4 linked regions of the Astyanax mexicanus genome follow. The protein of the gene in region 3 purifies or fractionates together with the protein of the main gene of each other region. This does not show direct contact. Links are inferred from orthologs where the notes say so. Each region holds a gene or a part of one and is shown on either strand. Other genes may lie near its edges. The genes, in order: timm10, ssna1, chchd4a and gfer.

Region 1 (8,243 bases), on a different chromosome or scaffold from region 3:
TTCATGGTTCCAGTTCCATTGCTGACAATAATGGGATAGATTTAAGTGAGATGAGACTGCCAAGATGTCTTTCACCTCTTGCATCAGAAGACGTAGTCACTGATGGTGATCGCCAGAAACATACAAAACTGGCCTGTACTGTCCTCTTGAGACCAGTTTCAATGCACCTGATTTCTTCTCCCCAGACAGAAACACTCCCTGACAAAACTGGCCATCAGAACCCATTGACTCCTCCATGTATAAAACCAAAAACTGCATCAGTGTCTGGTCGAAGTACACGCAGTTTGAGGTCATGTCAAGGTTGCATCAAAGATACCAATGATAGACGACTGGAACAGGTAATTACACCAAGCCTCAATAAGAGCAGATCTACCAAAAGGTCCAGCATTGATGTTTCTCTTGATGAGCCAAATAAGAAAAAACGTATGATGCTGGATTGTAACTCAAGTGGAGATAACACTAAATCAGTTAAGGTTGTGACAGAATGCAGTACAAGTAGAGAATCTGTTGTTGGCATCAAATCTACAAAATGCAGTGATTACTCTTGTACTGAGAAGACATATTGGCTCAGACCTGGTAAGACAGTCAGAAGAGATCAGACCGATCAACAGTCCAAGAAGAAGGTAACAAACTTGCAGACAAACCAGTCTTGCAAAAGTAAAGATCAAGTAGAATGCACCGAAGCTGTGGGTAAAAAAGATTCTGTTATGGTAAAACGTGGACATAGAAGACATCCTAAAAAAGAAAAAGACCCTGTAGAGTTGCAAGACAACACATCTGTGCACCAAGATTCGCAAACAACAGGAAGCCAGGTAAACCAAAAGCATAAAGAAAAAGAGGCACCAAAAGCAAAAATACTTTCAAAAGCTATTTCTGATGTGAATTTGAAGAAGAAAGAACAAAAAAAATCCACCAGGCATGCTAGTCACACTAAAAGAAAAGGTATTGTTGATCAGGTTTTCCACCAGACTATTTTTACTGTTGGAAGCACTATTGCCGGGAGTTTACCTTCCATTGATCAGAAGCTACAGTCAAGGTCCATGAATGCGGAGATTGCTCAGATAGCTGAAAGGAAAAGAGGCATTGGCCCACCACTGCCTCACATCGTTAAAAAGTTTAGAACACTTATAGACCAGGATCACATTAGAGGAAGAAAGTTGGTGATCAGTGAAAAAGAAGTGAATGATTCAACTGAAAAAGGCAAGATAGAGAAGATGATCAATAAAGGAAAGATGGATATGGACCAAAGTGAAAACGACAAGAATGTGGAGTCTGAAAACAACAGTGAGCAGTTGACAACAACCAAAAAGGGAAAGGGATGCTTGGTTGATGAAAACTTCGGAAAGGAAATGGATAAAAACCTAATTGATACAGTGTCTGAATCTATAAACTCCCTTAATGGTTCTTGTTCTGTCGATCTCAGGACTGTTGATGTGAATTGTAATCTCGATTCTGATTTGCCTACTGTTCTGTTAGCAGGGAATTTTGATATTAACTCCAGCAAAACAGATGACCTTCACAGTGAAACAGCTAAAAAATGTCTAGAAGACACTGAGAGGACCTCAGACCAGACTGATGATATCCCTTTAAAAAAAGATGCCCAGAATCACCAAGACTTCAACCAGGATTGCAAAAAGCAGCAAGTAGAATCAAACGAAGAAATGGGAGCCCTTGTAAAGGAAATCCGTATACAGAATGAAGAACATGAAGTTGAGGGAAGTGATGTTGACATAGAGGTGATGGAAGTGAGTGCTCTGGTTGCAGCAGCAGGTCATGGAGATGAGGCAGCTACTTCTGCCTGCTACGGTGGCAAGACTGAGATTGAGCTGGAGAAAAGTCAATCTAGTGTCGGGAAGAGTAATGGAGAGTCTGTTTCTCATGAGGCGGCACTAAGGGGGCCACTGCTCATAAGGACTGAAGTTCTGCATATCTCATCAGATGAAGATTACAGTAGTAAGTGAATTTTAAATTACATTATGGACTTTATTTTGTATTATTATTATGCAGAGGTTAGATACGCAAGCCATTCTGAGAAAGGACACATTGTAGAGAACAGAACATAAGTGAGTGAGTTGTCAATGCAATGGATGTCATTAATGATGGAAATTCACCATATTTGCGTAACCTATCTGGACCTGTAAAGATGGCAATTCAAACCAAAAACAGGAATGGTAGTGTCCATAAATGCACACTACCACACTAACTAGTACAAATATTGCACTTCTATTACAGATGTGTTTAGTAATGTATTATATGAAATATAAAAGTGTATGGTTTGGGACACAGTCATGGGTTTTTTCAGAGAGCGAGCTTTACTACAACTGCAACATGCACACTTTGTTTTTATAAAGCAATGCAATGTTATGTTATGCAATCATAATGCATACCTGCTTTTGGCTGAATCTTAAATACCTCCTCCCTCCTTACATACTGAACTACATAAGTTAAAACCACAATGTCTAAATGTACGGTAGATAGCCCTAAATTTCAAAATGAATAAAGATAAGTGGTGTTCTATTACAATTAAATGACGTTCTGTTTGAATTTAGAATACATAATCTTTCTTTATAAGGTATAAGGTACCCCATATAGGGCTAGCATGGAAGTGTTTTTTCCTCTATGTGGACGGAAATATTTAAAAAAATGGAGAGAGGGAAATACCCAGATACCTGTGAAATGTAGCCTTTATTTATTGAATCGCCTTGAGAATTCTGTCTGTATGAGAAAAATGGCAAGTACAAATGTATGTACAGCTCTGAAGGAGGAGACATATATCATGTATTTGAATGCATTACTGTGACATTATTTTGTTACATACAGAATACTTTACTTTTGAAGTAATGTCTGAGGAATGTGGCCCCTGTTGGATATGATTGTTTGGTGTTTTATCTTAAGAAGAACATATCAAACACCTAGTAGATATGAAAGCGAAAATCATTTCCTATTTTGACAAAGCTATTGTTTTAAAACCTTGGCTCACTGTTGGTTTTGGACAACAAATCTTATCAAACATCAGAAGAGAATTAACCTCCAACAGATCGTTGGCAATGCAGCGATGTTACTGTGTTTTTGTAGATAGCAATCTTGGAACAGACTTTCTCCAAGTTTATGGCGTTTTCGCCAGCTAAGGTAACTCTTACAGAAAAAGATTGATCGGATAACACTTTTGGCGTGAAGGCCACACTACTAAGATTTATTTAAATTTCATTAAGTAATAATTATCTTTGATGTTTTTTATTCATGTTTTTATGTCGCAGCTTTAATGCATACAGGATTACCAGCAATCACAGCCAACAAAGAAGAGAAGTCTTATCTCAGCATGGATTCCTCAACACTTGCAGTTAAACATGGATGCAACATTGAGACAGAGGGCCAGAAGTGTGGGGATGATGATGATGATGATGAGGAGGAGGAGGAGGTAGTTGTGGATGACCTCTCAAGCTCTCCTCCTGTTATTTTGGCAAATTCTTTAACAAATCAAGAAAGCATGACTGTTCTGACAGATGAGGAACTGAAGTCAGAGGAAGAGGAAGATGTTGATGTGACTGGATAGGACACAAACTGAACTCATCCTGATGTTTGCGAGAAGGAATCATCTTGAGTTTTCAGCAAAAGTGAGTCTAAATTGAATCTATAATGTTAAAGGCTTCACCAGTTAATCAGTGTTTGATTAATATCCAATGGTTCGTATTTTTTTCGTTGTTGTTGCGGTATTGTTCAGTTATTTTATTGTTTGTGATTCTGTAAATATGTAAATATGTATAAATATGAAGGTAAAAGCTGGCAATGTTGGTTTGATTAGTGATGTTCAGAGATTTCCCTGCTGAAAAAAACAGCATTACCATAACAAGCTTGTTCATCTGGTTAAGCTGGTTAATTCTGACCAGTTTTGTTGGTTTCAATGGATTAGCTGGTCTACAAACCAGATCATTCTGACCAACTGGTCTACTACCATAATTAAAAGAACTATGCTGCTTGCCATCAGTAGCCAGAGTCTGAGAGAGCACAATTAGCCATGGAAATTGGGCAGAAAAGGGGGTAAGAATGGAAAAATAAATAAATAAATAAAAGTAAATAATGTTGAAAGCCATATCTAACATCCACTATGCTGGTCAAAAGCTGGTTCAACTTTTTTTTTCTTCTAATTCTAAACTCTTAAGGACTACCACTGTCCCTAGTAATGCTCCCATCGCTCTGTGGACATACAGCAACCCAGCTCTGATAGATACATCAGCTAACAGACACCTGTGCTGCTGACCGACATCATCATGGTAGTGATAAAGGGGGGAGAGCATAGCCAGTTGTGCTCTCTTTGACTCCGGCTGCTGATGGCAAGCAGGATGACTGCAGATTTGCAAATTGAGCATCTTAAAGACCAGCTGATAAATCTCAAATTTATCAGAACCTGATTGAGCTGGATTTTTCAACAGGGATGTGTATTTTACTGGGCCACAAAATACTGTGATTTCTCTTTTTATTTTTATAGTTTATTAATTTAATTTTATTTATATTTTTTTGGTTGTTTGTTTCTTTCAAAAAGGCTATATAATGTTTGGGAAAGATTAAAAAATGTTACGGAATTGCCCATTTGAATCCCAGAGTATTTTTGCTATCAGCAGCCAGAGTCAGAAAGAGCACATGCATGTTTGCACAGTTGTTTAACCTCTTAACAGGCCAGGATTTTTTTTTATCAATTGTCTTCCTTACATTACGCCACTAAATCCTGAGTGTTTCTATTTAAACATTACATAAAAAGCTTTCATGTTTCATAAGGAACATTAGAGTGAAAACAGGCAGATTCTCCAAGTGTCCTGTGCAATTTTTCAGAATGTAAATAAGTTATTTTTCTACAAAAAAATGTTTTTTTTTTATCAACTTACGAGGCAAGGCCTGTTAAGGGGTTTAAAGGGCATATTTAAAAAATAATAAATAAAAAAACCTTATTGCACAACACTGACATCAGTCGGTTCAGAGTGGTAACTGCAGTGAATCAGAGGGAGCCATGTTGACCCAGGAAGCAGTGTGAGAGCTGGGCGGCCCCACGTGTGCAGCTCTCCGGCTCTGAAGGTTAAACGCGCTGTCGGTTCTGTGAGAAGCGGAGAGTCCACGGTGGAGGAGAAGCCGGAGACCCCAGCTACAGAGATGGACCCCATGAAGGCACAGCAGCTGGCGGCGGAGCTGGAGGTGGAGATGATGGCAGACATGTATAACCGGTAATATGAACAGCCTGTACTTTACTAGCTTAGCTTGCTTTGTTACCCTGCCTAGCATGGGGTTTAGCCACTGAATCATTTGATTGAGTCCGGGGGTTCGGCTCTTCTCTGTATTCCTCTCTTTATTAACCATAATCTTGATTTTTCTAACTTTGTTTCCTTTGCATACATAACATTTTTTTTTAATATTCACATTTTTAAACGGTGCAGCACATTGATATACTTTTGTTTTACTGTTTAAATGCATTGCTAGCTGTTAAAGCAAGCTGACTAGTATTTAGACTGTAGAATATTTTAGTTTCTACATAACTTGTTCTTCTGGTAAACACTGATGATAAACATTTCTATTATAGACCACCAGCCATTTGGCATGGTAGCTTAGTGTAATCTTGTTAGTTTGAATGGGGGATTCTAATAATAATTCTAACCCAATACCTTCTGAAGATTCCTTGCTGCTCCTCCTCTTTTATCACTAAGGAACTGCAGCCACTCTGCAGCTAATAGCAGAATGATTGTAGAGTTTTATAAATATATCTTGTAATTGATTTTCCCATGGTAAAATACAGTAAATGAGCAGCCCAAACGTTTCCAATAGTGTCAAGGTCCGTGACCTCCTTCTCCTTCAGTGTGTCCTCCTCAATGATGCAACAATGATTCTTCACGAGTCAGGTCACCCCTAAAAGAAAAGCATTCTTTACCTCAAGGGTAATTAGCCCCCCACTTACTTACAGGTACTAAAGGGTGACATCCAGCATAACTCAGTGGTTTCCTTGCTCAGACACTCCAGATTTAAATTGTTAGTCAATTAGGTACAATGATGGTAAATTTGAGCAGGACAGCCACGAGTTTTCTACATACCCACTCTACACGTTTTGAGTATACGCTTTGGCATTAAGAGTTTAAATCACCATCTAAATACATCACAGAACTGCAAGTGAATTAAGTATATATATTTTAAAAGTATACTTAACTTGGAAAAAACATACTAAAATTAAAGTATGTACTTAAATGCATATTAAATGTGCTACTTTGGCAATAGTACTTGTAGTAACTTGAGTATATTTCAGTTGTAATTAAAGGTAAGCTATATTTAAACACAACATAAAAGCATTACATTTTGTATTTGAGTGTTTTTTTCGTACAACTTCTGCAAACCTAAGTAGATTTAGGTATTTGTTTTTAATACACTTGAAGTATATTATAAATGTACTACTTTGCTTATTGATGCCCATATTGTGTACACCTTAATAGTACTGGGGGGAAAAACACACTAAAATGCACTTTGAGCAGTATTTAATGCCACTATATATTAATTATGGAAATACAGAGAATGTTTATTTAATGTGTATTTTCATAAAGTATATTAAATTGAAAATGCACTTTTAGTATTCTTTACCTAATTTAAACATACTTTTAATACTCTTAAGTATACTTCATTTTCACAAGGGTAGTCCTAACATTTTAAAGGTGGATGTTTACAAAACAAACAGGAGGACAGATCCAGAATCCAGAGTTAATTTCGCTATGTGTTCAAGAAGCTCTGGGCCTGCTACAGAAGGTCTGAATGGAAATGGTTTGCTGATACCAGCAGAGTATATATCGGCAGATTGGGAACTGTTCAAAGCCTTTCTCTGTCAGATTTAAACAGAACTTAAATTCAGAGTTAAGTCTGTTCAGTAGGATATTAGCTGAGGAACATTCCTATTTGACAGTCTTGTAGATTGTAGATTATTGTAGATGTCCTTTCCCTTTGAATGCATCATGTATTCTCATGGCTGGTATCTGATCACAAATAGTTGCCGTGACACCACTGTTTAAACGGTGATAGCGGCATGTATTGATCTTTCTGTGGTACAAAAAAAAATTGAATCCCTCGGGCTGTTATGGATCACATGGCTTCAGGAATGAATGTAAGGATTTTAATATTTGGTCCTTGTTGCTTATTTACATAAACGAGATAGATGACCCTTAGAAGAGTATATTTTAAAGTCAGATGGGCAAAATGGCAAAACTATTGTTAGAATTCGTAAATGTTTTTCACATACTGCAAAAATAACTAACAGTACTGCCAGATTAAAACTTAAATACACTAATTGCAAATCCAAATTTTCAGTTTGTGTGGGCTTTAACAGAACTAATTCTACTTTTCTTTTTCTTTTCTTTTTTAATTAAACCCTGTATACAGGGTTCGTACGGTCATAACAAACTTGGAAAAGTCATGGAATTTGAACATAGAAATTTCCAGGCCTGGATAAGTTTTGGAAAAATTAAAATACCTAGAAAAATTTTAAAAAGTCAATTGTGAGCTAATCAGTAAATCATAAGGCATTGACATACTAAATATGCAGAAATGTTATTCAGCTAGTAAAATGTCATGTTTCAAAGTTTGTTTTTTTTAAGGAAAAATATAGGCCTACTATAATCAGTTTTGACATGGATTTTTTATTTATTTAAATTTTTCCATGTCTGTACTGATGTTTTAAAGAGTGGATGGTCATGAAAATTTACTTTTGAAGGCATTTGTTTGGAGTTCTGATATTAGTAATCATGCTTATATGAGCATATTGTGTATGTCAGTGGAAAATTCTGGTATTTATTTTCCTGTGTGTTTATGAATACACAGTGGAAATCATTTTTTACATTTGAGATTCTTAAATATTTTCTCTATATTTAGGATCTGTTGCACTAAATAATACACCTTCCTAATGTTTTATTGTTGCTTTCTAGCAGAGATTACATACTTTACTGTCATTAGCTGTATTTATTTAAGCCAGATATTAAATACATTGCTTACAATTTTTTTGTTGAAGTGGGAACTGTGTATTTAAGCTTTCTCCTATTCCTTCTGCAGCATGACCAATGCCTGTCACAGAAAGTGTGTCCCCCCTCACTACAAGGAAGCAGAACTTTCGAAAGGCGAGGCGGTGTGTCTGGATCGTTGTGTAGCCAAGTACCTGGACTTGCATGAGAGACTGGGCCGCAAACTCACAGAGCTGTCAGTACAAGACGAGGAGATGATGAGGAAAGCAG
Region 2 (8,137 bases), on a different chromosome or scaffold from region 3:
AATCAGGTGCCCTGTGATTCCCACCCCTAATCACATACTGTAAATAAATATTATTTAGCTCTTTTCAACTACAGTTTACAAAATAAGAAGCTGCGTCAGATTGGCTCACTGGCTCTTATCCTCTCACAGAAGTGTCTGCACACAGTAGACATGGCCCAGGATTACTGGGCCAATTATAAGACTCAAACACTGTCCAGGATTTACAAAATGTATTTATTTATTTATTTTTAAATGCCTGGATGCTGACCTTCATGTACGCGGCCTCAGTCTCAGCGATGGTGCGGTCGAATTCAGCTCGAGCCGTGAGGCGGTGGGCCAGGCTCTCGTTCACCCGGCTCAGCTTCTCAGTCAGCACCCGGATGTCGTGCTGAAGACGAGCCTTCTCTGATTCTTCCTGCTGGATCTGCTTATTCAGCTCATCCCTCTTAAAGCACAGCTCCTCGATACCTGAGAAGAAACAACTGTGATATTAAGCATAAATGGACAACTTGCTCTTACAATAGGTTTTACACATCTAATGCATGTACATTTTTTAAATTGTGAACAATATTATACCTTGAAATATGGTGCCATATCACCCACCCCTAATTATATAACAATTTTTTATTTATTTATTTTTTTACTGTTTTTATACAAAAAAAAAAAATCACACTGCTTTCATTTCCCATTATATATCTACTAAAGACAAATTATATCTGTCCAGTATCATTTATTTCTTTTACTCTAATCCTGGATATATGGAGATATTTGGAGTGCATTATTAATATCATGACATTCTGGATCATTGACTTCTGTTACAAATCTGATAAAATTCTTGTATAATAAATAATAAAATTTCAATAATAAAACAATATTTTCTTTTTTTTTTTTGCAGTAGTGTGTTCTTGAAATATTTGTTTTTTTTATTCAGCGTTTTGTCATATTGCCAAAAGTATCATTATTGCGAAAATATCATAAAATATCATGATATAATTTTAGTGCCATATTGCCCACTCCTAATGTACATCCACTATACATCCAAAACGATGAAGACATCTTGCTCAGTCGTTGTTTCTTTGTTTATTCTGCTTTTTTGAAGTAATTTTTGAAACAATTATCTCTACTGTCCAGGAAAGACTTTTGGAGCATTGCTGTGAGAATTTAATTGCCTTTAGTGACAAGAACAGTGACCACACAACTCCCCATCCTAATCCATCCCATCCCCTTATGCATGGTGCCAACATGTTCATGTTTATCTGTCCTATTCTATAGGCAATACTTCTCCACAGGCACTAGACAAGCTATATTTGTGTGCACTTGCACGTCTGTGTCAGCACTGGGTGCAACTGGAAATAGCTGAATGCATTCTTTGGAAGGAGTATCCACAAACACTATGACAAGTAAAGCATCAACATGATCTACGCAGTTAATTACTGCAAAGTCCAGGTAATGGAACTTCAGTGGGAGTTTGTTTACTTATAGATCACAGCAGACATCTTGCTGAATCATGTAAAAGTGATAATGACGGAGGGATGTGGGTGTGTTGGCTTTGTCCTGACCTCTTGAACCCTACCTTTTTTAATTTTAGTTCCAAGACCTGTTACTCAGTATACGCAATAAATGATTCAGTTTGTAGTATAAATGCATAAGATTTTTGTTCTTTAGTGTTTTATGAACACTGAGTAGTTACAGACAGTGTAAGTTTATTTGATATAGTACAGCAAATCCTCGTACTAAGTATAGGGGTGTGCCAAACAAGCATGTGTAAACATTACCTGGCCCAAAAAAAGAAATAAAAAAGGCAACACCACCACCAATTTTTTTTTCTTTGATTGCAGCACACATTCACTGTGGCATTGTTTCAATAAGCTTCTGTAATGTCACAATGTTTATTTCAATCCAGTGTTGCATTAATTTTTCACCAAGACCTTGCATTGATGATGGTAGAGTCTGACCACTGCACAAAGCCTTCTTCAGCACATCCCAAAGATTCTCAATGAGGTTAAGGTCTGGACTCAGTTGCCCTCATTCTTTCAGCACATACTGTTGCTTAACCTAGACCTGACCTACTGCAGCATCAACCCCACATCATTTACTTACTTAAATCCAGGTGGCAATTTTATTTCATGCAGTGTATATTATATCAATATAACCATATAGGCCAACCCAAACCATCAAACCAAGCTGTACTGCTTGAATTTTTGAACCAGGACTGGCATAAAGTTATCCAAAAGCAGTGTGCAAGACTGGTGGAAGAGAACATGCCAAGGTGCATAAAACTGATTAAAAATAGGGTTATTCCATCAAAAATGTATCTTAAACTTTATGAATATGGACTTGTTTTCTTTGCATTATTTAAGGTCTGAAAGCTCTAAATCCTTTTGTTATTTCAGCCATTTCTCATTTTCTGCAAATAAATTCTCTAAATGACATTTTTGTATGGGAGAAATGTTGTCTGTAGTTTATAGAATAAAACAACAATGTTCATTTTACACAAACATAAACCTATAAATAACAAAATCAGAGAAACCAATTCAGAAACTGAAGTGGTCTCTGAATTTTCGCCTTTTTAAATTGTTTATAAATGAAAACCTCACATTTTGTTAACATTATAGCATGTTGTATTTTTTCAGTAAAAGATAACTCATGCTACAATGTAGTAAATAATACAAATAAATAATATATAAATATAGGAATGTTTTAACAAACGTTAGACTGGAAGGTACTGTATATAGTAAGATATATAGCTAAATAACATGAATTTTAATGGAAGGCCTGCAAAGTAAGGCTGGGTCTGACAGCAGCTACCTTAAAACTACCTAACCTAGTTTACTTAATCTAACTCAGCTAATCTCAGTCCACCAACTGTCAGCTCACATAGCTCAACATTAACATTAACCCCGACAGTCACTGAAACAACCAGTAAAACACAGTCAGAACTTTAATTTAACAGTTTTACATTACTATAATAGACTTTATTAATATAACAGAGTTAATGTAGAGTTACTCACACTTCACCAGCTCGTTGTTGTAGGTCTGTAGAGCGGCTCCTTGTTGGGTCATGCTGACTGTACTGAGTTTCAGCTCAGCAGTAAAGTAAAGTTAGATTAAATAAGATAGGTTAGATATCTCTAAAATCCTCACACTCCTCGTATATACAAGTTTATCGCACAGCTGTAACTTCACTCTTAATAGAAAGTTTGAGCTGAATCCATTCACTCCCTCTGACTCCAGCCTCCTTCTGTTTCTACAACAACCTCAGCCTGCAGCTCTTCTTCTTCTCCTCCTGAAATAACGCGCCTTATGGCGGGTGGAGACACTGCAGTTCAGCGCGACTCCGCCCCTGCTGGACTGGAGAGGAATAAAATACAGCTTTAACCCCTTCAGACCTTTCAGCGTTATATTACAATGAAAATATACAAATATAAATATAAAATATAAAATAAAAAATGCACAAAAAATAATAATCTAATACTCTAATATGACGTCCAGTTAAATCCAATTAACTAAAATATCTAATAGTTTTTTTTATGTCCATTGTACTGGAAGCCTGTGTTTTAAATTTGATATTGACCTTTAATTTCACAAACCATTTCTACACAGTAAAAATAATACAAAATAAAAAGTACATAACATTTGCATCAATTAGCTTTTATTCTTTTTTAGAAGATTGATTAATTTCATTATAAACAAAATTAATTCTATATACAAATACAAATCACAAATAAAATCAAATGCAGCAGAAAGAAGAAAAAAAATGTTAGAATATCTGCCTCATTTGTTCCAAGAATATTTTCAAACATTAGTAATTTACCAAAAAAACAAAACTAAACAAAAACATCAAATCCTTCCCAAACAACAGTTCGTATAGATACACATTATACTATTTAATTTTTTTTAAACAAACCAACTTTTATCATTCTTTTTAACACATACATTGTTCTAGCATATTTAACGTCACTCTCCAAATGATTCCACAATCTTATCCCTTGAATTTAAGTACAACGCTCTTGTTTTTTCCAGTGATGTGGGCGCGGCTAAGCTAGTGTTTCTTTTTTAACTATTTTTTTTAACAGTTTTGCATGAAACTGGGTTTGTCTAGTCAGGAAATCTATTTAAATATGTATTTATAATAGATTAATATTCCTTTCTGAAGCTATTCTCATTTTTCTAGGTTGCTAAATAGAAATATATAAAGATTTTTTTACTCAACATGGTTTTACTTCATAGCTTTGGCATTTGTAAATCGTAAAAGCTTGTATACAATAGCTACCTAATCAAGTTTTTATTTTGTCCAGTTTTGTTTTCAATAGAGACCGAAGGATTGATCAGCACTGTTGTATAGGATGTAAATCCATTTTGCATACTTGTTTCTCAAAACGTGTGAAAATATAATGGCAAAAATTACAAACAAAATTAAAACCCTTCATTTGCAATTTAAAATGGCCTTTTGCCATTTCACTTTCATTATCATACAGGTATTTCCCAGTCAAATGTAAAATAAAAAACTGTGAAAAGAAAAATCTAAGCTTTTTTCATTTTACCACATTTGCAACAAGTTGGAGCTGCTTAATATTTTCCAGAGCTGTATATTTTATGGTAAGGTTATAATAAGTGGGGATACAGGTAACAAATGGTATTTTTTCAGTGTTCCAATTAGTTTTTATGAATGTTTTTAGTCACATATCTTACATTTGCAAGTAGGTCTATGTACAAGACACTGTGTTTAACAATAAAATGTATTTTGTGTGCACATTTAGACATGTAATTTCCTGTGGATAAAAAAATACAGCCTTTTCAGCGTCATCGGGTCGTGGACGTCATCACTGAGGGACAGCAGCTTGAAGAAGAGCGCGGAAATAAACAGCAGCAGCAGGAGAACCAGAGCTAATGGAGATCGTATAGCTCGAGTTGCTGAAGCTAAGCCGCTGTAATCACTGCACACGGCGGTACAGAACCTCGGGGCGCGGGCTGTTCGGTAGAAATGCTGCGGGGACGGCGGGCTGTATGTTTGTAGGCGGTGGTCGGACCCGCGGAGCTGGGGGAATGAAGGACGGCGGGGCGGTGCTGGTTCCCCCGGGTCTGCCTGCAGCCTGGGCCGCGGTCACCGCTGCTCTGGTGAGCTGCTGCTGTGCAGATATATAGGCACTGACAGTCCTCAGGGTTATCACTGAGCTGAGTAACGTTTATTATTATGATGTAGGAATGTAGTTCGGGCTATTCTTAATCTGATACATACAGTCTAGGTTAGCTAGCTAGCCTGCTAATAGTGTAAACATCCTGCAGTACAGCACAAAGACAGGGTCAGCTGGCTGCACTGATCTCCAGTTTACAGTTATATATATGTTGTGATGCAAGAACAGTCAAGTTTTGTCAAGTTTTTGCTCTTTCAATTCTAATAGTTTTGGAGGTGTAAGCGTTTTATGCTTGCAAATGTATATTTACATTCGTATATGTTAATGTAGATGCTTGGTACAAACACACATTAGCCAATGAATAATATATCCCAACTAATTGTGCTCTATTTGACAAAAATATTACGATATTTCAGGGCACTTTTGCGTTAACAAAATATTTTTTCGTGATGTGTTTCTTTTCTTTCTATGATTTTTTTTCTTTTACATTATAAATGTAATATTGAAGACAATATTAAAGCTATACAGGAACATATTCTGAAATATTTTCTAAATTGAAAGTGTTAAACAAACCAGTATATGTTTTATAAGTACCACATTTAGCTTTGATGACAGATCTGCACACTCTTGGTACAGTATTTTAATCTCAGGGTCTTTATGAGGGAGAGTCACCTGGAATAGTTTTCTCAACGTCTTGAAGGAGTTTCTGGAGGGGCTGAACAATAGTTACTGCTTTTCCTTCATACTGTAAAGCTCCAGATCATCCCAAATTGCCATCTTAGTTAATCAGGTTTAGACCAGGAGATTGTGGAGGACAAACACTTTTTTGTTTACTTTGTAATTTCACGTGTCCCTTAATTGTTATATCTTAAATGTATACACATATACAATGTTTAAAAAAATAGTAGAAAAAAAAAAATTAACTCACATCTGCATCCTGTAGGTTTCTCCTGCAGTACCGCCTTCAGTTCCTGATGACACTATTTCTGATGCTCTGGCTCTGCTGTGTGAACAAGGGCTGGCTCAGTATGTGGAGGGCTGGCTGCTGGAGACCTTGCAGGTTCGTTTGACCACTGATGTGGCTCCGGAGTTCTGGAGTAATTTAGAGCAGCCTAAAGGAGATTCACAGGAGAAAGACAGAGCAAGATGTTTGCTAGATGCGTTCAGGACTCTGCTGCTGCGCCTTGAACCATTTCTTGGTAAGCTATGTTTTCTTCTGTTTTTGTAGGTACTGTTCTAAATCAAATGGAGATTGCAGTGCTTGAATGCTTGCAATTTTTGTCAGAAATGTGCTGATTCAGTTGCAGGTGAACAAACCTTATTATTATTCATTATTCATCACCGTTCATCATCTTTCCTTTTTCTCATCTGTTTCTAAACTTCCAGGTGGGCTTGAGCAGCTTGGGTCTTGGCAGGATGAAGGTCGTGGGGGTCTGGTGGGCCCTGGAGCCCATGGGCTCCGAGAGAGGGCCTTCTCGGTCATTCGTGCTATCCTCCTCTTTTCTCCTCAGCCAGTGCTCCAAAAGAGGGTGCTGGAGTTCTACAGTCGCACCTTCTCTGTGCACATGAGCCAGGTGGGAGAGGGTCTGGAGGTGGAGCAGGGAGCAGAGGAGGCTGACGGGGCCTGTGTTTGTCCAGGCTGTGCAACCCCACCTCAGCTGTGCTGGTGCAAGGAGGCCCTGGAGCAGCTGCAGGAGCTTAGCCACATCCTGTGAGTGCAGGAATATTGGGATTGCATTGTTTTGTAATATAGTGTAATGTAATTTACATGGGTGGGATATAGTTCTGCTACAGCACCATGGTAAAAAGAGAAGACATCAATATGATTACATATTCCATGCTGGAAAAGAAGAATTTGCCATACAGATGTACAAGCATTGGGTGCTGTGATGTAACTTTTTATGTGTTGTTGTTATAATGGTGTGTGGCAGATCCAGACTGCAGCTCTTGGGGAGGGTTAGCTCGGAAGCAGTGACCAGCATTCTGCACCGACTGATCGAGGAGAGGATGGAGCAGCGGTGCCGGGGAGAATATGAGAATTCCTTTCTGGCAGACTTCAATGAAGTATGAGGATTCTGGCATATATTTTAATGGTCAATTTGTTGTTTTGTTTTAAGGACTGAACAATCTATGTTTGTTATTCCTCACAGTTTTGCAGATATTTAAGTATATCTTTTCATGGGATGAAACAGACTACTCTTCATTGTGTCAGTGTCATTTTGTCTGTGTATAGATTATATAACAGTGTAAGTTTATTCTTCCCTCAAAATAACTCAACGTACAGCCATTAATGTCTAAACGAAATGTTATTGAGTTATTTTGAGGGAAGAATAAATACACTGTCATATAATCTACACACAGACTACTCTTCATTGTGTCAGTGTCATTTTGTCAGTTTCATCCCATGAAAACCTATACTTAAAGATCTGCAGAAATTTGAGGGTTTTTTTATACTCTTTATTATTAAATAATAACTGTGTTATATTAATAGATTATACTGTCCTAATAAATGACACCAGAGACATAAATAACAGCTTTTTTAAATACAGTAACATGAAAATGTTATTGTTGAAAATGTTATAAATTCTTGCACATTAGTGTCCTCTGTTTGTGCTTTAGTGGTTGGAGCAGGTGCTCGGCTGGCTGAGCAGAGTCTTTGCCAGTGAAGTGGACGAGGCTGGCACTGATTCTGTAGCTGCCAAAGGAAAACCTGACCAGCCTGGCAGTGCCATCCTCCAACGCTGGCGCTGCCACATGCACCAGTTCTTTTGCCGCATTTACGTTAACATGAGGATCGATGAGCTTTTCAGCATCATTCGAGGTAAAAAGTCAAATGACCTTTTTTTAAAAAATATACACATTTAAGAATAGTTACTTTTAACTCAAGCACTAACTTAGCACTCCTACATTCTGTAAATAAGGTCACTTGATCACACAATTTCCAACTGTGCTGTGATGCTCTCAGGTCGTTCAGTATATAAAGTAAATGCTGTAAGTGCTGTAAGAAACCTTACACAAGTTTT
Region 3 (7,471 bases):
CTGCTGACCGCAGGGACCACTGGCCATCCCGCCCAGGCACGGGCAATTCCAGTTTATGTCCCCATTGGGTAGAATCAGACCTGGGAGGAGTCACAAAGTCATGATGTGAATAAAACTGACCATACTTAACATTAGCTATGATAACAGCTCAGTACTTTGCCCAAAAATGCTTAAAAACTAACGAGTCTATGAGAATTAATACTGAAGTCATCCAGACTATAAAGAAATATATAAGAAATAATGTAATAACTTGTTTGTTAAACAAACCAAAATACTCTGTGAATAAGCATTTAGGTGCTCTTATCTGGGAAGCTGTTAACTTACAGTTTCTTAGGCTTAGTCTTTCTTTCCTGAGGCAATCCTGATGAGAGCCAGTTTCATCTTACTGTTTTGAAGTAATTTAATGATTTTTTTTTTTTCCCACATTGACTGACCTTTATTTCTTAAAGTATTTTCTTTATTTAGTTGAGTAGTTCTTATCATAATATGGATTGGAACATAGGGCTAAAATAGGGATATTGCCTAATGATCTCAAACACATTAAGAGGCAAGAAATTCAAGTAATTAACTCTTGATGAGTTCAGCACAGCTGTTAACTGAAAGCCTGACTCTACCTCATAAAGCTGACTGAGAAAATCCAGCCAAGATATGCAAACCTGCAAAATCTAAAATGTAAAACATATTCTGCTTTGTTTAACACTTTTTTTGTTTACTAAATATTATATATTAAATTATTTTTTCTCATACTTTGGATGACTTTAGTATTAATCTACAATGCAGAACATTTTACATAAGTGAAAAAAAACACTCAATTTAAGGTGTGCATGAACTAACGATTGGTACTGAATTTCCTCCAAAAATGATAAATATGAGCATATATCTGATTAAAATGACTTCTGAGCAGTCTTAGCATTAGCTCTAATATTAGCTCAGTACTTCGCCCAAAAATGCTAGCAAGGTGTTTTTTATTTGTATAATTATTTTAATACTGCACTATTAAAGCTGTTGTTGTGTAAAGGCTGTGGAAAAGGCTTGAGCATTTGGAATAGAGTGCCATTATTCCGTAATCAGTTAGAAAACTGAACACACCTCCCTTTTAACGTGATACTTATAAACTAAATAAAGTTAGAAGCTCACCGTGATCTTCATAAGGATCGTTAGGGTCATCTTCTACCAGCTCGGCATTACTTGGGGCCTCGTGGTCCTCCTTGGTCACAAAGATGATCTGATCTTTACCTGCCATGAAGACGAGAAAAAGAGTGAGTACATTCAGTCTGGGAAAAAGCAATTCCAGCAAATGCTCAATCTTGGGATTTTCTACCATTGTAACCTGCATAACATATTGCAATACTATTATATTTTTATATCAACACTGTATAAGCATTAATGACCATTGATCAAACTTATCTAATGCAATTCCAACCTTGTGAGCCCGGACTTTGGTGTTTCTATATGATTACCTTATCTGACCTCTAGTTTTAATGTATACATGTAAACGTAAGCTAATGTTTCAGGTGACTAGCGTTAACATGGTGTCGCATATATCAACCACCACCACTACTACATTTACCAACATGGTATAAATACTGTCTAAACATATTGTGATTATATTGCAATAAAATGCAATATATACTCTATGGACAACAGCACAGAGACACATACACAAGCTTTTAGGACAATTCATTGTAACTATGCTGTATTTTCTAATAGTCAAAGACAATATCAATGATTCTCATACTTCTTTTGTGCTGCTGTAGCAAAACTGATCACAATAATTATACAATTTCCTCATATCGCCCACTTGAGCAACCACTTTAGCCATTCATTCATACATTTATTAAATAAACTGAATGAACATTCTCTCTTGTGACGCCCCGATGTGCGAATTATAGGTTAATGTCCATATCTGATATTGCGCACATATATATCTGCCAATATACACATTTACAAATTACAGAGCGTCTGGACACCCATTATAACTTTATAACTTAGAATTATACCCTAAAAAAACTAGTAGCGAGGCCATTGAAAACTGGCCAAATTGGACCATGCTGATGATTCTAAAAAAATATATAAAATATAATAAAAAGGACCAATTTAATATAACAAACAAATATATGTCCTAATTAATTAGAATAGGTGTGTTGACAACAAGAAAAAACTAAATTTTTGCTAATCTGAACCCGGGCTGGGGAATAATGATCAATATTGCAATATATTGTATTTTTTCTGTCTGTGATGTTATCATAAAGTATATGTGTATATATATTTATTTTTGAAACACAGGAGCTCTAAACTTTCTTCAATAACTGCGACTCTGTACACACAGTCTAGGCTGCAGTAGGTGAACAAAAAGTGTATATATTTCCCAAACTATGATTATTGATTAACAAATTTGTTGTCTCTTTTAAATGATATAATGTTTTTTTTATGCTATTATATCATCATAAATACAGTGCTATTTAAATGACCTTAAAATAATGATAATATGGTTTATCGCAATCATTTCTGAGACAAAATACCGTACAAAATACTGTTAATGTGGTTAATGTGATAAGCCTAATAAGGATGATGATCATGATAAGGATGATCTAATTGAGATTTTGCCTGTAGGTTGCATCAGACACTGATACAGAACTGAAAAGCTGATTACACACTTTCAAGACACACTTTTTCATACTATCCCTATATTGTGTCTCTACACAACACCATGGAGGTCACAGAGTTTGACCCCAGGAACAGGTAGATGATTAGCTACTTATTAGCTTGTTACTTAATATTCCAAGCTACAGTTTACACAACCACACATACATAACTGAACTAACTGAAGTTATCAGATCATTATACAGCCGCACACTGCAGTAACTCAGCCCTGTGTTCAGGTACTCTGCCTCTAGCAGGTGTTTAATGCTGTAGAGTGATGGTGATTGGATAAAGCTAGGGAACAGGAACACATGGCGGGCTAGCAGGCTAAAGCCCGATGACATTGAGGAACGCAGAGCAGCAGATCAGCAGATCTGAGCCGGATCATACCTTCCTGTTTGCAGTAGGACATGTTGGTGAGTGGAGAGGACCGATCACCCGCAGAAAGCCCCGCTCTGCCCCGCTCTCAGCGCTCTCAGTCCCAAACTGCTCACCGGCACAACCCGCACACGCCTGCTCTCAGCACCGGACACTCAACACAGCGGCACGGGGGCTACCATACTGGCGCCCGGCTATTTCATAATAAAAGTTCCCCGGAAAAAATATGTTATAGAGAAAAAATCAGGTCTTCCCATTTTAGGCAATTTTTTTTTGTTTTATTTAATTTTTTTATTGAGGAAAACGTAAAAAAAAAATATTGTGTACCATACTGGCGCCCGGTTATTTCATAATAAAAGTCCCCCGGAAAAAAATATACGTAATAGAGAAAAGTAAAGTCTTCCAATTTTGGGCAAGTTTTATTTTATTTAATTTTTTATTTTGTACCATACTGGCGCCCGGTTATTTCATAATAAAAGTCCCAGAAAAAGAATATATGTAATAGGGCAAAAGTAAAGTCTTCAAATTTTAGGCAAGTTTTTTAATTAAATATTTTATTGTGTACCATACTGGCCCTCTGTTATTTTATAACAAAAGTCCCAATAAAAATATATATTTATATAAGAGGGCAAAAGTAAAGTAAAGTTTTTTATTATTCATGATCGTCTTATTATTACTATTATATTCACGTTTCTAAACGCTCCTCCTCCCACGGCTTTCGACGTGGAAACGCGGAATTTTACAGTCTCGTATGAACTGTACTGAGTTACGTTGCTTGTTTTATTTTATTTTTTTAGTGTGTACCATACTGGCGCCCGGTTGTATCATAATAAAAGTCCCCGTTAAAATATGTAATAGGGCACAAGTAAAGTCTTCCCATTTTAGGCAAGTTTTTTATTTTATTTAATATTTTTATTATGTAACATACTGGCGACCAGTTATTTCATAATAAAAATCCCCGGAAAATGTATAATAGGGCAAAAGTAAGTCTTCCTATTTTAGGCAAGTTTTTATTTTATTTTATTTTTTATTATGTATTAAACAAACAAGTATACAAATAAAATCTGACAATTAACACCATCCAAGTTATTAGTAGGTACAGACTTCTTTAGTTATTCTTGGAACCAACATGCTCATTAAACAGGAAAATTCACAGAATTAGACAACATATAACAATATGATAGATAACACGACTTATTAAGGAATTGGAACGAGAACCTTTGGCTTGGCAACAAGATAATTAAGGTGTGGCCACAACTTATTAAGCCGTGGGAACAAGTTAATTAAATCATAGCCATTAAGACGTGGCCTCAAAGTCCTTTTGTTTCATAGCTAATGAACCAAGCAGCTCTCAGGGGTTGTGATTATTAATAATCAGGATCAAATATGATATACATTTATAGATATTGACCCACAATTCCCATGTCTGTGCATCGTAAATAAAAATAGAGGAGCAATGGCTTATTGTGTTTTTTATGAAAATAGATAAAATTTATTATCTGCTTATTTTCTCTTTTATATCCCTTTTTTAAGCAAGCCTTTCTCATCAGTGCATGAGATGCAGGCCTTATCTTTTGTTCTTTAGCACAACTAACTTGGCCTTGTTTAGAAACAAAAAAAACTGATGCAGGACAAGGCCTTTATTTGTGTGTGTGTGTGTGTGTGTGTGTCAGAGATAGCAGCAAAAACAATCCATTGTCATCAATCCTGAAACACAGTCAAGGATTTATGAATGGAGGTTAAACCAAACAGCCCCAATCTAACCTGTAAAACCCAACAGCTTTAATGCCGCTGTTGTACTCGGCCTGCGTTTGAGGACACAGTAAAATCAGGGGTCAGTCCAGTGTTTTCAGGTACAGCTGACCATCAATTCACAGCAATCCCGCCGTGTCGCTTTAACAAAGGCCTCAGATATTAAACCTGGAGAGGGATGTTTGGGCAAAGGGCGAGAGATTATATAAATCATTTGAAAGGGAAAGGAGAGAGGATTTGCTCTGAAAGGTTGCTCATAGTTACAGTAGCAACACACACAGTTTGAGGTTGGAGCGCTTGCCAAGCTTCCCCTGCCTCCATTGTCAATACTGAGCTATTCTGGAGCCGAATGTGGCAGAAAGAAAGTCACTGTTAGATTACAAACACACTCAACTATGAGCTCACTGCAGCTCAATGAGCTGGATATTCTTCGTTTCAGTCTTTCTTTTTAAGTAGAGAAGTAAACCCTCCTGTTATGTTAATTTGTCAGGAACAGCAATGGTGTTCCCAGGTCAATTTGACCTGGTGCATGTTTAATTATTCAAAATATTTCATTACTAACTCCACTGCTAATAATTCTATCAATATTTGGTGCAACCAAATGGTGTTAAAACCTCTAAAAGGTAATGGTCCAATTAGGATAATTCACAATTCTTTCTTAAAATAAATAATGTTACTACTGTAATGTTTCTCTACTTTATTACTTTGAAAACATCACCATATAAAACACAATCGTTTTACATAACATTGAAAATAGCATTGCAATTTTGTTTTAGTTTTATTTTTTTGCAGGTTGTGGTCACAAATATGTGAGATGGACCATTTTCATATTATATGTGGATTACACTAATTAAGGCAAGCAGAAGAAGTTTCATACTAAAAAATATATATATTTAACTATTTTTCTTAGATCTTTAAACTTTAAACGAGTTAAATAGTGCAACAGTATATTGACCTATGCTTTGGATTTGTGTTGGTGAGTGTAATATACTGCTTGTACCACTTGGAAAAATGACTGTTAGTGATCTGAAATAATTAAGTGGAGTAGAGAGTGAACAGGCAGCTTCTTCAAGTGTCCTGTAGGAGATTTTAAAGCCCTTAAAGTTTCCAGAGTGTAAATAACTTATTTTACTGCAGAGAAAAAGGGATTTGTATTAACTACACCTGTAGTCCTTGTACAAGGTTCAAGGCATTTAAGGGGTCAACAAAGTGTGAATGAGAAGGTGAAGACTGAGATTGCTTTTCTTATATTTACATGTTCGCAGTAGCTCTTGTATCAGCAGCATTAGCTGGGGCACTGTTGCTGTAACCAGTAAAAGCTGATGTGGTTGGAAAAAATGATTTGATTTGATATTTTGCAGTGTGGAAAATTTTGGGAAAAAGTTTGTGTCTTTATTTCAAGTTCTTGGTAGTTGAATGGAGCTTTGGATTTGCCTGTCTTACCAGCATATGAGTGATTCTCTCCAGAAGTTTTCCTGGTCTTCCAAAGATCCCCTGAACTGTAATTTCTTGATAAATTTCCACTCTTCAGAAATGTTTTCTTATTTTTTTTCTATTAGACTCTTCTGACGTGGGCATTGATTACTGTATTTTTTTTATCTTAAGGTATTTGCTTAGCTGCAGCACTGTGAACAGCTTTCACAAACCCATAAAGACTATGTTGGGACCAGCTTGTGGGTCACGTCCACTAACTGTTGGAAGTTGTCTAAATCATTTCAGATTGAAATCAGTTGACACTTTCTGATTACAATAGGTGGCATGTCTTTAGGCCTCATTTGCTAATCAAGGTCTAAAACCTTGTCAAACCTGGTATGTAATGATTTAAGATAACATTCTCAAAAAACTGATTAAACAAAGCACATCTGTAATATTTTATTCCAAAATAAACACACATTCTCATTATGTTTAGTTCAATACTGCTTTAATTTGATCTGTATGAAAAAAGTACTGTATTGTTCTTAAGCAGCCAAAACCTTGTCACCATCATTCATTCCACCCCACAGTTGTATTTACATCATGAAAAGTATCACAATAGAGCGACAATCTTTACAAAAATCATCTACAGTGGCATCCAATAAACTATCTGAGAGAAAGACAGATCCACAAGAAGTGAGGCACTTTTCAAATGACAGCACAGAAAGCTATCCTATCAGGTCTTTTTGGTATACGGTTTAATAATTCTTACAAATATCTATGAAATTAATTACAAATAACGTGTTTTACCTGTCTGATCTCACTTCCTTTACAGTCAAATTTATCTTAATCCAACATAGAGCCAGAAATTAGGAGAAATAACAGGGCGAATGCATAGTAGAGTACAGCAGTACACTGAATTATAATAACCTCAGGTTATATTAAACACAGTGACATTTTGGTAAATATTAGGGGTGTAACAATTTTTAATACAGAATAAAAAAAAAAGACATTCTCAGTGATCAAAACTAGGTCTCTGAGCGATTCCTAGTAGGTGGGAATTTACGAGGGTTGGGGTTTATGATATGGACACACCCACACCAAATTTTCTGCCTTTTACTTAATTCACCTGCATCCTATAATAACTGTATATAAAAAAGCAAATAAATGTCGTTCTGCATAATGCTAAGCTTGATAGGAATGCAGTGAATATTTATCAAGGGAAAATAGGTGCCCGAAAATGAAAAAAGCACTTTCGATGCTTGGCCGAAAAAGTGAAAGAATA
Region 4 (7,756 bases), on a different chromosome or scaffold from region 3:
TATTGTTGCTGACACAAAAATTTGGTATCTCCAAAACGTTTTGTTTACAGGAGAAAAAAAACTTCCTTAACTTTCAGTGAAAGTCAAGATACAAAGCTATTCCAACTTTGGAACATTTCAACATTTCATTTCTAAATGAGGTTTAGATTTAATGTTAAGAACCACTTCCATATTCACATTAAAAAGTGAAAAACGACAAAAGAATAGCATTATAAATGTTATGTTGGAGGAAACGGGTCAAATTGGGACAACTGTCAAATATTGAGCTGCAATCAAAAGGTCTGCCATGTTTTAGATGGTCAATGTGGTTGAAATCTGGTCATCCAAGCTACAAAATACTTATATTTTGGTAAACCAGTTCTTGACCAAGCTGGTTGTAAAGAAAGTCATAATAGCTGATTATTTTGTTTAAATTTCATGTTGGTCTTAGTAGTCAACAAGCCTGTGTACAGCAGCAATATGTATAACATCATGTACAACATATCAGGTATATGAGACACAATAGCCGCTTCCAACAACAGTTATTATAGCCCAAGGCAAAAAGTTCAAAGCAGCTGATGGTTCTGTTTTGTGTTTTCCAGTGAATCAGCTGTGGAGGGCATGTCAGTGTCAATCACAAGAGCCATCTTTCCAGCCATCTCTCCACCGCTCGTCCACTCTGCTGCAGTCAAACTCTGGCTTGCCTAATCGGATGTTGATGCCATTATGGAGACGACACATCCATTGTGAGAGGTTGTGGCGGCTGCTGGTGTCTGGCTGGTTTGTTTTCAATCTGGCAACAGATAGAAACGATGAGTCAAAAAGGGGACAGATGCTCAAGTGAACATACAGCCAAAAGCACAGTGGGAAAACAACAATTAAAACTAAAAATAAAGCATCCAACCCCAGTAATAACTCTTCAGGCAGTATATGTATATATGCTGGATATATATATATTTTAATTGTCTGAATAAGCTTGATACTTCGTGAGAGATAAGAGTCAAATAAATTTGGCAGACAAAACACTATATGGACAAAAGTATTGTGACACCTGCTCATTCTTTGTTCTAAAAAAAAGAGTTTATCTTGCTTATGCTGGAGTAACTGTCTGCACTGTGCAGAGAAGGCTTTCTTCTAGATTTTGGAGCATTGTTGTGAGGGGACAAAAGCCTTAGTGAAGTCCTGACCTCAGTAAGGCTTTTGTCACTGAACACAATCAAATACTTCTCCATAGAAATTAAACAAGCTATTTCTATATATGTGCACATCTACGTCAGCAATGAATTTATTAAAAGGGGGGGTCCACAAACATTTTGACATAGAGTGCATGTCTGCAGACAGCTAGATCAATCCTGCTAATATATTAAATACTGTGTATATCCCACCTTGTTCTCAGGTCCTCAGCGCATTCGTCACATGGGAAGAACTTTGAGAACAGGTTGATAAACTGGCTCATCTCTTGTTGCTGGGATGTGCTGGGAGTATCAGGGTAGTAGGCAGCCATAGTGTGGAGTAAAGACCATGAACTCCTCCCGAGCTCCTCCCTGTCCAGGGGACACTCCACCAGCTTCTCCTCAGCCACCTGAGTCTCCTAAAAGCAAAATTTCTAGTTTAGCCAAGATGGTATTTTCTACATTTATTGGCCCACAGAGTAAATTGGTAAACTGTAAACTGTTTTGTTTGTTTCTTTTAATAAGGAAACGATTCATAGCATCAAATCGAGTCAGCAGCATCTCTTGACCATACTAAAAGGATTATAGAGTATTGGCTTTCTGTATTAGCCTGTATATTATCATCATGAAATAACCTTGTACATAAAAAATATCGTAACTTTTATAGGAAGCTAATGTTCAAATATTTTATTCCAAGCCACTTTTAAGCATTTCTATTGGTGGACAGATGACACTTTCGTCATTAAGACAACTGTCAAATTAACCAGTAAAAAGAAAATAAATGTTTTTAGTGCAGGATGGTGGCAAGTATGTATGAATGATAACAATAATTGTAAATTTGTCTGGGGCTGACATGAATGAGATCTTCAAATACCATGTGGAATTTCACCTTATTGATTTTAACCTGTGTGCACAATTGCTAAATAGCCAGGTTGCCAGGTACTTTTAAAAGTATGAAATCAGTTTGAGCAATACTAAAAACAAGTTTTCTTTAAAGAAGAGATCAGAACTCTATGCAGAATATGTAATTATTTTAAACAAACATAACTTGCTGTGAAAAGACAACTCATACCTGTATGTTTAGAAGATACATACTAGTGCATCTCAAAAAATGACATTAAAAAGTTGCTTTATTTCAGTAATTCAGTTTAAAATATGAAACTAATATATTATATAAATGTTTTACACACAGAGGGATTTATTTTAAGTGTTTATTTCTTTTATTGTTGATGATTATGGCTTAATACTACATAAGATTTTGTCAGTGTGGGCAGTGTGATAAGTCTTGCTGGAAAATGAAATCAGCAGGGGGAAGCATAAGGTGCTGTAAGATTTTATGGGAAAACACTGCAATGATTTTGGGCTTGATATTACACACTTGATCAACACCCCTAGATGACAGGGTTTTTCAAACCATCACTGATCATCAGTAAATTTTACATTTCATTTGGAAAATCAAGGGACCAGAGTCTGGAGGAAGAGTGGCGAGACACACAGTCCAAACTGCTTGGGTCTAGTGTGAAGTTTCTACAATCAGTGATGGTTTGGAGAGACATGTCATCTGCTGGTGTTGGTCCACTGTGTTATACCCAAAGTTCTAAGTTAGAGCAGTGTTTTCCCGGAAAATCCTACAGCACTTCATGCTTCCCTCTGCTGACAACTTTTATGAAGATGCGGATTTCATTTTCCAGCAGGACTTGGCACACTGTCCACACTGCCAAAAATACCAATTGGTCTTAAATTATATTCTATATTTCTGAGACACTGATTTTTGGGTTTTCACTGTTTCACATTTTGAACTGATTTACAGAAATAAAGTAACTTTTCAATGATACTCTTATTTTTCAGGAAACTTCACCACACTGTCCAGTCAGTCACTCACCTGTGCTGGGTTACCTGGGGCAGCCTGCTTCTTCTGAACTTTCATCCATGACTTAAAATCTGTACACGCTCGACACGGCTTCTTTTTCACGCCCTGTTCTTTTTCTGAACTTTCTCCAGGCGGTTTGACAGGTGGAGGGAAGGGGAAGCCCTCCATACCAGTGCTGTTACTGTTACTGTCACTGTCCCCGTACCGCGACCCTGACGGAGCTGCCATGACGGCTGTTAGTTAGCTTACTTAGCTAACGTAAGATAGCTAGCTGTTAGCTAACCTAATGTTTGCTTAGCTAGATTTAAAGCTACGTTTCGTACCATGGAAGAGGGCAAGACTCGTTTGGTCAGTTTAGAAACATCAGAAAACGTCTCATCTTGCAATTAAATTCGGATTTATAACAGTTTAGATACTATTTCAAATTCTAGAATAACTAAACTGGCTAGCTAACTTAGCTAGCATTAGTCCGTGTTCAGGCGGAACGATCAGTCCGCAAAGCCGTGTTTTCAGCGGACAGCTTACAGAGCGACACCGCGTGCTCTCCGGTGCTGCTAGAGAGTGAGTTCGGTTTCTCCCAACTTTTACAGCTCTTATTTCTATACGTGAGTGTTAAATTCTAAAGTACCCACAAATAAACACCTATATCTTAATTTTCATGTGCATGTCGAAGCCGGAAATGCCATCGTTTAGCGGCTTTTCTGTAAAACTGCTCGATAAGTTTGCTAGTTATCTATCTACAGTTACTAGTTGCTTCTATTAGCTACCCTAGCTAATCTAATCTAGCGGTCTGTCTGTCTGTGTTTCTGTTCAGCTGCTCCTCTCACAGGTCTCTTCACCGTCCTGAGGACCTCACCCCTCCCTCAGCATGGGGATTCTGGAGAAGATAGCCGAGATTGAGAGAGAAATCTCTCGGACACAGAAAAACAAAGGTAGCTTAGCTAGCCGGCCAGCCCAGACTGCCACGTTAGAAGGTGCTAAATCCAGGTCCCGAAAGTACAAATCCACACCACTGTTTTGTACAGTCCGGCAGCATGAATGTGGATCTATTCTAAAGCTAAATCACACTGACAGCTGCCACAAAATACTGGGGTGGGTTTTGACTTCATGGATTTGGATTTGGCACTTCTGTATACCTGTACAGCTACAGCCAGCTGTTGGATCTTTGTGGAAGGTGATTTTGCACCGCCTCGAAAACCCAAAATCTTAATAAGCGAAAATATCTAATTTCAAGGTGTTTGTCTTACTAAGCATTATAATTTGATCTTAATTTCTTATCAATTAAACCATTAATTATTATTTTATTGTATTATTTTATCTATTTTTCGTTTATTTAATGTTATTGTTATTTTATTTTATTTTAATCTAATATTATTAAATGTAGTTATTAATTGTCATGCCAATCCCTGTTTTTGTAAATGCTTAGCTTTATTAAAAGATGAGGGTTGCCCTAAATGTACTTCCGAGGCAAAATAAAGGTTGATTGATTGATTGAAGTGTAAGACTGTTTTGTTTATTTAGGAATAGGAATAATACCCTTAATCAGTCTCAACTACAAAGTTCACTTTATTTTAAAGGAGAAAAACGGTGTGAAATGGATGTGGGGTGTAGTGAAAAAAAAGTATGTCCTTATCTGTGTTAAACATGTTTGCAGCTACGGAGTACCATCTAGGTCTGCTAAAAGCCAAGCTAGCCAAGTACAGAGCACAACTTTTGGAGCCTTCAAAATCAGCAGGAGCCAAAGGTGAAGGTTTTGATGTTATGAAATCAGGAGATGCCAGGGTGGCTCTAATCGGGTTTCCATCAGTTGGCAAGGTAATCAGAGTATCTATTTGTGTATGTGTGTTAATTACCAGTTATACAGTTTGTTATTTTGCATTAACAATCAATTCTTTTGCAGTCTACCTTTCTTAGCTTGATGACATCGACAGAAAGTGAAGCTGCTTCATATGAGTTCACTACATTGACTTGCATTCCAGGTGTCATTGAGGTACCTGTCAATTTGAATTTTTATATTTCTGGAGATTTTAAATTATTTAAATGTTTCATCATGCTCTCTTTCTTTCAGTACAAAGGTGCCAATATACAGCTGCTGGATTTGCCTGGAATTATTGAAGGAGCTGCTCAAGGTGTGTGGTTTTTGGATGTTAGTGGATGTTGACATTTTTGTTTGCACTTGTTTTCTTGATTCTAATAAGTTAATGTTGTTTTCCATACAGGAAAGGGCAGAGGTAGACAGGTCATAGCTGTAGCCAGAACTGCAGATGTGGTTATCATGATGCTGGATGCAACCAAAGGAGAGGTTCAAAGGTGAGTAATATGCCTCGTTGAGACTTGGTCATGGATTGTGACTTGCCACATGTGATTACACTTGGTATGCAGATGTCTTTAATATTGTGCAGTTATGGTACATAACGTGGACAAGTTTTTTAAATAAACATTTATGAGACTAGCCCATGTGCAGTTAAAATGCTTGTGGTGAGCTTCAGGTAGTTAGAACAGGGTAGGACTGATATACATTTAGATATACAATATAATATTATAAATAAAACAGAAAATGTACTGAATATACAGAAACAGATATATTTTTTTGCAAATTTGCCCTCAGGGATGAATAAAATCTTAGACATATTCAGAAACAGGAAGCTCCTATCAAATTAACTAAAAATAATGAAAAAATGAAATTGGCAGCAGCAGCAATAGTTGGGGAATAAAAAAAAATACATTTACAGCATTTAGCTGACACTTTTATCCAGGTTATTTACAAGGTTATTTTTATTACAAAAGTTGCCCAAGGACACTTATTGGTGTAGTGCAGCATTTAGTCATCCAGACCAGAAATTGAACCCCAGATGTGGTAGCTCACTAGCAGGTAGTGGTGTTCTCCACTGCGCCACACCACCAAAATATTGTGCACCCTTTATTGAGTATTGTCTATAATATTTCTATCTGGCTATTTCTTCCTCATAGGAACCCTCATAGTGAATAAAAAAGATAAAGTGTCCTATGATTTATTTTTTAATCTTTCAGGGAACTTCTTGAAAAAGAGCTTGAATCTGTTGGCATCAGACTCAACCGGTGCAAACCAAACATTTATTTCAAGGTACTTTTTACATTCTTTACCTTCCTGCATTCAGGAGTACTTAAGGTGTTTAACATTTAACAGTTTGCATGATACATATCCTCTGATTTGGACCTTGAACTGTGTTCTTACAAAAGTCTTACAAAATATTCTCTTCTCATTTCAGCCTAAGAAAGGAGGTGGCCTCTCCTTCAATTCAACACTTCCTCTCACATACTGTTCAGAGAAGCTTGTTCAGCTCATTCTTCATGAATACAGTATCCTTTATCAGCATTGCTGTCTGTGTTGGTAATGATGTAAGGTACCCCTGACACGTTAGTGACACAGACAATTGTATATACTTACCTGTTTTTGTTTAGCACTGCTCAAACTTACCTGTAGGGTCCTAAAAGAGTAAGACGGGATAAATTACTGAGCTTTACTAACCTGAATGAGTCTATCCAACAAAAATATATGTTAATTACGTGTACACATTTGGCTCTTTTCTGTCAAATAACCTCTGGTTCCTCACGGTGCTTTTCAGTGAACCAGACCATGTTTCCAACAGCTTTAGTGGGAACTCTCAAATCAGCTAATTATACGACATCAACAGCGGGTGCTGCACAGTGGCAGTGAACATGGTTTGCACTGAAGGACCCAGTATTTTTTTGGTTCTCATTACGAACGAACATTCCTGGTTCTGGAACCTACTTTTGTTGGTGGAAACATGTCGAACCAGTTCAAATTTAGGTTCGCAAACCAGAGTGATGCCAGTCCATGTCGGTGGAAAAATTTTAACTGTGTATGTTAAAGAGTGATGGCAATCGCATATATACTGTAGGGGGGGGATACCTGTTTAAAACAGCCCAGAAATGGAGGTACAGGGCTCTTCCCAATAAGGTAGCAGTTGCCTTGCTTGAAGGTGTGCGTGTGTGTGTGTGTGTGTTTATTTTTTAACGACATACTTATAAATATATATGACGGGAACAAAAGGGATCTTTTGTACTTTGCTTTTTCTTTTATGTGGTGCTTCCGACCATTTGCCCAACACTACTCATAGATTGTTCCTTTTTTTTTATTTTTTTTATTTTATGGTAGTTCAAACGTTATCACATTGTCTGTGTCTGTAACTGTCTCTCTTAGGGGGAATAACAATATGGGAACATTATTACCTTAACTTGATTTTGTAGAAATCTTCAATGCTGAGGTTTTATTTAGAGAAGACTGCACACCGGACGAGTTTATCGATGTTATTGTTGGCAACAGAGTGTACATGCCTTGCTTATACGTGAGTAGCAGTCTGCATCCATCATATCTGTCTAATATGTTCCACATATTTGCCTTATATCTGGTTGTTCATTTTGGAAATAATACTTTTTTTTTTTTAAATAATATGGTTGGGCCGCTGAAGGGTCCAGCAATCTAAAGAGCTGCCACTATGACTGGGAGATTGGTTTGAATCCTAGTCATATAGCATGCCATCAGCTGCCTGAGCCCTGAAAGAGAACAATTGGTCTTGCTCTCTCTAGGTCTTTCCCCTCATTACTCCAAAGGGTGATGTTGATCACCACAAGACGTCTGTGAGCTGATTTATCAGAATCGAGTCGCTGCGCTTTCCTCCGAGTGCGCTGTGACGCTACTCAGCAATGCTGCATCAGCAGCAGTTCAAAAAGA

What was found.
Region 1: the proteins of chchd4a (region 3) and timm10 purify together in Homo sapiens (co-immunoprecipitation; 4 studies listed by BioGRID and IntAct, with this or other methods). This does not show direct contact. The link is inferred for Astyanax mexicanus from reciprocal best matches to the Homo sapiens genes CHCHD4 and TIMM10.
Region 2: the proteins of chchd4a (region 3) and ssna1 purify together in Homo sapiens (co-immunoprecipitation; 3 studies listed by BioGRID and IntAct, with this or other methods). This does not show direct contact. The link is inferred for Astyanax mexicanus from reciprocal best matches to the Homo sapiens genes CHCHD4 and SSNA1.
Region 4: the proteins of chchd4a (region 3) and gfer purify together in Homo sapiens (co-immunoprecipitation; 3 studies listed by BioGRID and IntAct, with this or other methods). This does not show direct contact. The link is inferred for Astyanax mexicanus from reciprocal best matches to the Homo sapiens genes CHCHD4 and GFER.

The regions. Positions count from the first base shown.
Region 1 is NC_064414.1:44,292,114-44,300,356, forward strand, and holds the start of timm10 (mitochondrial import inner membrane translocase subunit Tim10), read left to right. Parts: upstream 1-4,989; 5' UTR 4,990-5,142; coding exon 5,143-5,213; intron 5,214-8,064; coding exon 8,065-8,243. Other genes in the region: uncharacterized protein LOC111195959, read left to right, coding at 1-1,953, 3,258-3,553.
Region 2 is NC_064408.1:19,792,007-19,800,143, reverse strand, and holds the start of ssna1 (Sjoegren syndrome nuclear autoantigen 1), read right to left. Parts: upstream 3,283-8,137; 5' UTR 3,043-3,282; coding exon 2,991-3,042; intron 448-2,990; coding exon 248-447; intron 1-247. Other genes in the region: anapc2 (anaphase-promoting complex subunit 2), read left to right, coding at 4,987-5,097, 6,058-6,313, 6,501-6,825, 7,046-7,178, 7,734-7,935. UniProt on the Homo sapiens protein: Microtubule-binding protein which stabilizes dynamic microtubules by slowing growth and shrinkage at both plus and minus ends and serves as a sensor of microtubule damage, protecting microtubules from the microtubule-severing enzyme SPAST.
Region 3 is NC_064431.1:28,413,423-28,420,893, forward strand, and holds the start of chchd4a (mitochondrial intermembrane space import and assembly protein 40), read right to left. Parts: upstream 3,213-7,471; 5' UTR 3,056-3,212; coding exon 3,034-3,055; intron 1,237-3,033; coding exon 1,138-1,236; intron 81-1,137; coding exon 1-80.
Region 4 is NC_064410.1:54,128,431-54,136,186, reverse strand, and holds the start of gfer (FAD-linked sulfhydryl oxidase ALR), read right to left. Parts: upstream 3,250-7,756; coding exon 3,034-3,249; intron 1,571-3,033; coding exon 1,365-1,570; intron 773-1,364; coding exon 610-772; 3' UTR 1-609. Other genes in the region: drg2 (developmentally-regulated GTP-binding protein 2), read left to right, coding at 3,890-3,953, 4,676-4,836, 4,922-5,011, 5,090-5,150, 5,241-5,331, 6,052-6,124, 6,270-6,360, 7,273-7,370.